Xenopus tropicalis: one gene and its partner. The protein of the gene in region 2 interacts with the protein of the main gene of each other region in a biochemical or structural test. Links are inferred from orthologs where the notes say so. Each region holds a gene or a part of one and is shown on either strand. Other genes may lie near its edges. The genes, in order: hoxb1 and pbx1.

Region 1 (4,366 bases), on a different chromosome or scaffold from region 2:
CATCGAGCTTTAACTGCGTGCAATATTAAATTAACGAAATACTTATTAAGAAATCCTTAATCCAGTCGCTGTCATGGAAAGTGGGGGGATCTTGATTGCCCCGCTAACTCTGAAGCACAGTTTGTTCGTTAATGTCCTGTCTTGTAATAAATGTGAAATAATGCCCCACTATTAAAAAAGCGTGGAACAGTCGTTTACCCTAGTTACAATAATTTGACATCATAAATACAGTCGTACAGAAGTTAAACATGCCGCTCCTCTGGGATCCATAAGACTGGCTTGAACAAATTGTTCATTAAAAGAGATTTAGATGAAAGACTTGGGCTGAGGAAGAATCTTGTATGAACTCTTGTTCCACATCCCCAGACCAGCGCAGTTAGTACATATTCTGACAAGTTTTACAAATGAGGGTGGGCGTCATATTGTTACTTGCCCTTGTCTCCCGTGTTGTAACAAGTAAATAAATGTTGCTTACCTAACCGATTTCTATTAACACGAAGAGTGTGTGGGAGAGACTCATTTCCCAATTCTCTCTTTCCAACAAAGACATTACAGAAAGGGAGACACCTCACTACCATGAGCCCAGTGGGCTATAAAATGCCCCCACATTAATCAAAGGGGAACGGAAAAACTACATCACTTTGACAAATACCCATGTTCAGATCGAAACGTCGTTTTGCGGCCATTGCGTTCCCTAAGAGCAAAGCCTATCCATCTAACGGAGACACTCACTTTCAGTACTTATTGTTCAAAGGGAATGGTTTATTCGTTCGTTTATTCGTTCAAAAAACTATTACAAATAATTCCAAACCAAATAAATAATTGGAATTTTTTTTTTTTTGTATTTATTTTTGTTTTAAACTGATACAAACATTTTCCAGAATGGAAATGGATGGAGGATGTTCTGCAAACTCTGCCAGATGGAGCTTTGCTTTTTTTTTAAAAAAAAAAAACCTTTAGATTAAACAGGGTTTTCATCTAATTTGCCACATCTCTTTCTTTTTGCTAGAGGTCTTTTTACACTTAAAAAAAAAAAAAGTCCTGAATAATTCCGAGTTTCCCTTTGGAGGCTCAGAAGAAAGATTCTGATGCTAACTTGTCGTTATCAGATTGATGGGCCGGGTTTGATTGAAGTCTCTTTGTCATGCAAATGTCACTGGGCCATGATGGATGGGGCCCAGATATCTGACAAGCTTCAGGAGGTCCTCAGCCATTGGTCCCTGGAGAATCACGTGTGCTGTGGGTGAGAGACAGGGGGTTTGAAGCCTGGCAAGGCATGGATGGAAGTTTACACATTTGACATAGTACCTAAAGGTTGTAGGGCAGAAGGAATCCCCCGAAAGCAGGTTGACCCTCCTCCATCACTGGCAGATGGACAATACCAGAATGAGCTCCTTTCTGGACTATGCAATTTGTAACCGTGGGACGAGCGCCTACTCACCCAGAGGATACCATCACTTTGAGCAAGGGACGCCACCCTTCCCTGCCTGCCCGGGTACCAATGACATTTATAATGGGGATGGAAGGTTTGTGGTAGGAGGGGGGAATGGTGTCCCAAGCCATCTCCACCAGCAGAACCCCAGTTACCCTCCCCAGCCCAGCGCTGGGGTCCCCTATACCAACTCTCTAACAAGTTACACCCCACAGACTTGCAACCAGGCTTATGGGCACCAGGCTTATGCCAGCCCAGACGCAGATGGCATCTATTTCCAGCAGACAGCCTACTGCTCCAACACTGGGGCCAACTCCAACTCTTATTCTGATGGCTATTGTGGAGCAGTACCGGGGCCTGCCCAGTACCAACAGCACCCTTATGGGCAGGAGCACCAGGGACTGCTACAAGCCTACCACAACCCTCCTTCTATGCTACACGAAGAGAAGGAGCCCTCCTGCCCTTCAGAGCAAGCCCTACCCAACCACACGTTTGACTGGATGAAAGTAAAGCGAAATCCACCCAAGACAAGTGAGTACCAGCAAGAGCCATTGCTTCTCAGTGCGGCTATGAGTTATTATGGGCCTCCGCTTCACCTTATATCCATATACGTGGGCGAGAGCTATTACTGTATCATCAATCTTCTGTCATAGCCAGGGCTCATCAAGCTCCCACCCCTGCAATAAATCCTCTCATCATATACTACTCGCTCATCCATAAATGTACCACTGAGTCCTCAGAGTATGGGTGTATATATATATATACTAATGATAAACTAATATCTCTATATATACCACTGAACAGTGGGGCCTTGAGTCCTCAGAGTCTGTGTGTATATATATATATATATTCCAATGATAAACTAATATCTCTATATATACCACTGAACGGTGGGCCCTTGAGTCCTCAGAGTCTGTGTGTGTATATATATATATATATATATATATATATATTCCAATGATAAACTAATATCTCTATATACTATAGTGCATCTAATGCATACATTCAGAATGTGTGCAAAACAAATAATATCCAGAATATTTTGTTTTAATGGGGGGCTTAGAGATATGGGGTTCAGTTATAGTTACGACACTATCACTCTCTCCATCCAGCTAATAAAATTGTCCAATAATAATCCTAGGGCACAAAGGTGAGGATAGAAGCGAATATTTAGTCTTATAATACATCAGATTTGTAACATTGCCTTGTCATTTGATACAAAGTATAACAAAGCTCGTTTTCTCAACAAATATAGTTACGAATAACCAAGTGTCTCTAACTGAACTCGAATCCTGCTAAATATTCTTTAACGAATGGCCGTTTATATGCATGATTAGAGTTGTTTTTTTGTCAGTATTGTATTTTGATTTTTACTTGGCAAAAGTCTGGCGCAATTTCAATTTACTAGCCACAAAAAAGGAGTTGGAAAGCTAATGGCGTTTTAGGGTGAGGGGGGAAAGGAAATTGAGTAGTGTAGCCATGAAATGAATGGATTCCTGGGGTGCTCATGTTATCAGGGCTACTTACTGTATGTGTTTGCTCACCCCCTAACCTTCCCATAAACGGTTGTTAAAGTATTTCTATACGTTCTAATGAAAGTGTTCCCCTCTGCTTTGTGTCCCAGCAGCCAAACCGGTGGACTTTGGGCTCAGTACCCAACAGAACACCATCAGAACCAATTTCACGACCAAGCAGCTGACTGAGCTGGAGAAGGAGTTCCATTTTAACAAGTACTTGACTAGGGCCAGGAGAGTGGAGATCGCCGCCACCCTGGAACTGAACGAAACCCAAGTAAAAATATGGTTCCAGAACCGGAGAATGAAACAGAAGAAACGAGAAAGAGAAGGACTGGCCCCAAGCGCCATTAAGGGCTCCATGAAAGAGAATGGGGAGATGTCAGACCTGTCCAGTTCAACCTCCCCAGATGCCTCTCCCAACTCAGTGTAGCACAAGCAATGGACAGTAAGCAGAGCGCACATAGATGTTGTATATATTTTATTTTGTTCTACAAATACCTTCCTATTTATATACAAGATTAGTTTACAGGATCGTCATTGTATCCATGGAACACAAGGAAAGTGCCCGTTCCTCTCAGGGAACCTCAGATTTCAGGGGACACGCACTTGGAGAACTATCCATAAGCTCCTGTCTGATCCAAATGTGGCCTATTTATCCTTATTCCCATTGTGGGGGGGTGGGGGATGGGGGGGGTATAGTTCCTTCTGTTTGTTCTCTGGAATAGAAGCTTAGCCATTGGCATATTTTTATTTGATTGTAATTATATCATTAATGTTATAAGGGCTGATAATGTTTGATTCCAGTTATGGAACAAGATAGAATAAGAGGAAAATGTTATTTTAAAAATATTTTTTAAAATATCCCATTTTTGCACCTACACTATACTGGAGTGGTTGGCTATACTTTGTGCGCTATACAGGGTGACTTTAGGGGACTGCAATTGTTCTGACACACTATGGTCACAGCAGTCCTATAAAAGGAAAAAAGCAGCTATAAAACACTGCAAATGCATCTCTTGCTGTTCAAGAGACTGTGGTTGTAAGGCAGGAAGTATATTAGGGTGAAATGGTGCCTATAGTAGCAGTGGGGGGATAATAGCCTCTGGGAAGGGACTGGGGCTGTGGGATAGCAGGTATAGTAGGGAGAGATGGTGCCTATAGTAGCAGTGGGGGGATAATAGCCTCTGGGAAGGGACTGGGGCTGTGGGATAGCAGGTATAGTAGGGAGAGATGGTGCCTATAGTAGCAGTGGGGAGATAATAGCCTCTGGGAAGGGACTGGGGCTGTGGGATAGCAGGTATAGTAGGGAGAGATGGTGCCTATAGTAGCAGTGGGGGGGATAATAGCCTCTGGGAAGGGACTGGGGCTGTGGGATAGCAGGTATAGTAGGGAGAGATGGTGCCTATAGTAGCAGTGG
Region 2 (4,587 bases):
ATTCTAGCGGAATACAGGAAGATTGTAAACTATGGCTTGCATACATTTGTCACTTTATGTATAGACGTCTTTTACTGGGACATGACCTTCCAGCTGTTGCAGAACTACATCTCCCAGAATCCACATGCTGTTGTGGGTAAGTGGGAGGTGTAGTGCCTGAAGTTTACATTATATGTGTACTTCTGCCTGTCCTGCAGCAAGTACAGTATACAAAGGAATTATAATTGTATTAATGTGGGGCTTGGGTTCCAACAGGCAAACCAGATTTTATTACTACTATATTTTGCCTGTCAGATAAGGAAAACGAATTGCTTGAAAAAAATAAAATATATAAAAACATAAATTAGAAAAACATGTAAATACAAAAAAACTCTCAGAATATAGACAAATATGGATTTATTTTATATTTAAACAGCAAGATGAATACAATAAAACTAAAATACCTAGAGCTAAAATTGCCACAGTGGAAGATAGGCATCTAAACGACACACTGGGGCCTGACCAGCCTTTGTCAGTCCACAGTGCATACTATAGATAATAAGCAAAGATCGCTGTTTGGCTACAATGGACTGAAGCAGAGTGATCCACACTTACGTTTATTCATAGTAGCTTTGCAAATCTCTATACGCTGACAAAGGAACGGCTGGGCATGACATGTCCAATTAACAGATTCTGAAAGGTCTGCTCTCTTGCTTTGTATAAGTCAAGCAAAAATACACTTCTTACTACTAAGTACATTTTGTTACATACTTCAACCTTTTGTAATTTCAATGTTGCGAGAGAATTTCAATTGTATATTTTAGTCTGCAAGTTTTCAGCACATATATATTTTTTTTTTTTTACACATATTAAATATGTATATATTTATAAATGGTATATGTGCCTTGAAATTATATACATGCAATGTGCACATGTACAGGGGAAATATTTCTCTGCGACAGCAACACATTTTAGATAAATGCCATCCAAAATCCCTTTAATCCAATTGAAGGAGTGCTGTAATTTCAAATTTAGTTCCGCCAACTGCACGTTTCTCTTGAAAAGCCTGCTTTTTTTCTATTTACCCGATTGGGGTTAACATGTTGAATTTATACCATAGGAGAAAGGTGTTGTGGGATTCCTCCTTCTTTAAATATTTAGAAATGCTGAACAAAGGCAAAAGTAGAAGGAAACCAAAAGAAACATTCATAAATTCTCAATGCACAACAGAGAATTCACTGCAAACCCTCTACATTGATTCTCATTACTAAGGAAATATTGTTTAGCTATATAAGAAAGTGTCAAACAATTAACTTACAAAGCTTATTTAATGCTGTCATTCAACCCTATTAGATGGAGAGTGTAGTCCATGCAATAAGTAATGTATTTAAATCTCTGATTTACAAAACAAAGGTAATTATATTGCTTGGATTTCCCATGTACTAAAAATCTTCCTTGGCAGAAAAATCCATGTTTACTCCCATTCACAGAACCTCTGTTCTTATTTAATTAACCAACATCATAAAAAGTTTATATAATGAAGCTATGCTTTTAATGATTATGTGTAGAGATGTATATTAAAATATGTTATATACAAAAACTCTGCCCGTCCCCATAAAATCAGTGTGTTTTGTAAATGAGTGTGCCCTGGACATGAGTTCTGTACATGAGGTTATTATCCCACCTATGACATATAAAAGTCCCTCTCTGTATTATAGAATGCAGTATATAGTTATATGGCGTGAATCACAATGAACAACTGTAAACAGATCTTTAGAATGCAGGAACTGCCAGTACAACGTATTTTGAGGCCCAGAGGATAACTCAACATCTCTAGTGCTTCCCTGACAGATGGAGAACTTCTTCCTGCCCGTTTCTTTTTCCTCTAAGGAATGAATATACCATACATATAGGACAGGGATGTTCAACCTGCAGCCCCCCTGCTGCTCCCAGAATCCTTTTGACAGCTGATGTGAAAGTTATAACAGAGCAACAACTGGAGGGTCACAAGCTAAACATCAAAGATCTAGATAGAAACTGTTGATAAATAGATTTTTTTTTGCATAATTTGGTGTTTTTCAAACCCCACTGGGTCAGTACCAGTTTAAAAATGTTGCCGTAAAAATGGAAAAGTGAAAGACAATGCAACCCTCCTGCTTAGGGGTAACAGTTTAGCGCACACATGTACATGGTATATACTGTACACACTTACTGTCGTGCAAATGGATTGCACACAGTAAACCTTATTACTTATACAGCACTAAGAATAAAAAGTATATAAACCAAAGCACCATGTACAGAGGTAGATTGTCAGCTCTATGGTGCACGTTGTCTGATACACGTTCACATATAACACAAGGTTGATAAACAGTAGCAGTTACTTTGCTAATGGGGGAAAAGTGGTTTGCTGGTCCAACCTCATACACACATCCATTCTAAAAATCAGGCAAGTCCACCCTGAGGCCCTGGAGCAATTAACTACAGCTCCCATCATCCCTTGACAGCCGGATGCTGTGAGTTGTTGCTCAGTTAGAAGTGGAGGGCCTCAGGCTGGACATGACAAGTATAAGCTCACAAATAGTATCCTGATGCCCACAGGGTCCCAGCCTAAAGCTGCTAAAAGAGAGAAAGAAGCACTTTGCAAGATCCAGCTCACCTGGCCTGTGCCTCATCCAGACTCTGGTCAGTGATGGTCATGATCTGCTGTAATATATCCCCAATGTCCTGCTTCCTGCCCCCCTCCCCTTCGTTGGCTCCTGTGCCATCCTGCATGTGTTGGGACAGACTGGGGTGTCCCGCCATCCCCACCCCGGGGTGGCTGTGCATCAACCTGGGCTGATCATCCATTTCCAGGAGCAAGCCCCGCTCTGCAGCACCCTGTGCCTGTGTTGTGCAGCGCACAGGGAACTCTTATTGTTCTTCTCTCTCCTGCCTTTGTTGTGGCTCCCTCCTGTTAATCCCAGGGCGCCAGGAATCCGTCCTAGTCAAGAAGAAAAGGTACAGTATCCAGGCACGGCGGTTCCGCGGGAGGGTGGGGTCTGTACCGGGCCAGGGAAGTTCTACACAGCTCGGTGTCCTGCTTTTGTTTGGGCTCAGACTCTGCTTTCCTCCCTCCCCTCCTGTGTCTATCCCTCTCTTCTCCAGAGCTGGCACACAGCGCGGAATGGAGACTTAGCCCCCCCTTCCGTCACGCCGATTGGCGTACTGGGAGGTAATGTACCGCCCCCCTTGGCTTTGGATTGGTAGTTTGGCAGGTCACTCCCCTCCCCCTTAGCTTTTCTCTTGTCAATCAACAAGGTTCAGAGGTGGGGAATGTGGAAGAGAGAAAAGAAGAGCAGAAAGAAAAGAGAAGGCAGTGGCCCCGGGGTCTTAAAGCGCTAGCGCAGGCTGGGAGAGGTGTATGGGTATCTTAGAAGGAGTAATTCCTCTGGACAAAGCCAGGCTTTAGTGGGTCTGCCCGGGTGGATTTCAGTGCTTTTGCCCCCTACTTGCTTTCGTTTTACCTTAACCCTTGTGCTTCATGAATGCCTGCCAACGCAATAAAATGCAGAGGGCCCCATTCATTGAGGGGCCCTACGTAATAGTTGAGTCGGTGTTACAGACTCTAAATCGGCCTGTTTGCTATTGTACAACTTAGTATTGCCGAGAACCCGAGCGCGATTGATTGGGAATAAAACGGTCTGGTGTTCACTTGGGTCTTCGCTTGTTTTGGTGTAAGTGAAAGCTCTTCGGTCCCCACACTGTGGGAGTGTCCCCCCAGCGGGCCCAGACTAAAGTACAAGTTAAAAATAAAGGCAACATATAAGTAGAAATATAAGTACATTTAGAACTGTTTATAAAAAGACACAACCATAGTTATATTTGAACTAAACATAGATATGAGTGAGTCTTGTTTGACTAAGCAAGAAAATCATGTATAAAAATCATCAGTGTCTTATGTTTAAACTATTGGTGTCTGACTTAATAACTGGTAGGTAATGTCCCTTTAACCAGTAACCGGGGTAGAACAATAGAAAAGATTCTAGAATATAACAATAGAACAGATTCAGTAGCTGATTTGGGCTCAGGGGTATAGAGTGCTGCACCTTATTATCATCCTGAAAGTTCATAAGCTAGAAGGGCCCAGTAATTTGTTTATTCACAATAATTCCCTTAGTAGATGTGCCCTGAAATGTTAGGTCCTTATGCAGTGATAAAATCTTGCACAGCATAGTTACTTATATTTCAGTTGAGTGAATGTGCAGTGTTAGCAAGAGAGTGTCAGGTTGGCCACAACTGTCATTGCCATGTTGAAGAAACCAGACATAGCAACAGGTAAGTGGTTACTGTGTGACACTGCTCTAGGTCAGGGGAAGTTGATAGGTTATCACTGGCTAGAAAGTGTTATTTAGGGTATTAAAAGCACATAAATTCTTAGATAAATATACAAAGATATGCCAAAAGAATGTTAACAAGTATAACTGAAGTCCCAGAATTCATTGTAGTTGCAAAAGAAGGGTGCACTGGTTGGACAGAATAACAATTGTAGAATTATTATATACATACAGACACAGGGATATACTATCAGTGACAATAACAGTTCCATAAGCAGCAGATACCATCATTTCC

Evidence for each region.
Region 1: the proteins of pbx1 (region 2) and hoxb1 are reported together in a solved structure, tested with the Homo sapiens proteins (2 studies listed by BioGRID and IntAct, with this or other methods). The link is inferred for Xenopus tropicalis from reciprocal best matches to the Homo sapiens genes PBX1 and HOXB1.

Annotation. Positions count from the first base shown.
Region 1 is NC_030686.2:11,996,137-12,000,502, reverse strand, and holds the start of hoxb1 (homeobox protein Hox-B1), read left to right. Parts: upstream 1-1,302; 5' UTR 1,303-1,371; coding exon 1,372-1,963; intron 1,964-3,056; coding exon 3,057-3,379; 3' UTR 3,380-4,082; intron 4,083-4,366. UniProt on the Homo sapiens protein: Sequence-specific transcription factor which is part of a developmental regulatory system that provides cells with specific positional identities on the anterior-posterior axis. Acts on the anterior body structures.
Region 2 is NC_030680.2:108,212,294-108,216,880, forward strand, and holds the start of pbx1 (pre-B-cell leukemia transcription factor 1), read right to left. Parts: upstream 3,090-4,587; 5' UTR 2,827-3,089; coding exon 2,636-2,826; intron 1-2,635. UniProt on the Homo sapiens protein: Transcription factor which binds the DNA sequence 5'-TGATTGAT-3' as part of a heterodimer with HOX proteins such as HOXA1, HOXA5, HOXB7 and HOXB8. Binds to the DNA sequence 5'-TGATTGAC-3' in complex with a nuclear factor which is not a class I HOX protein.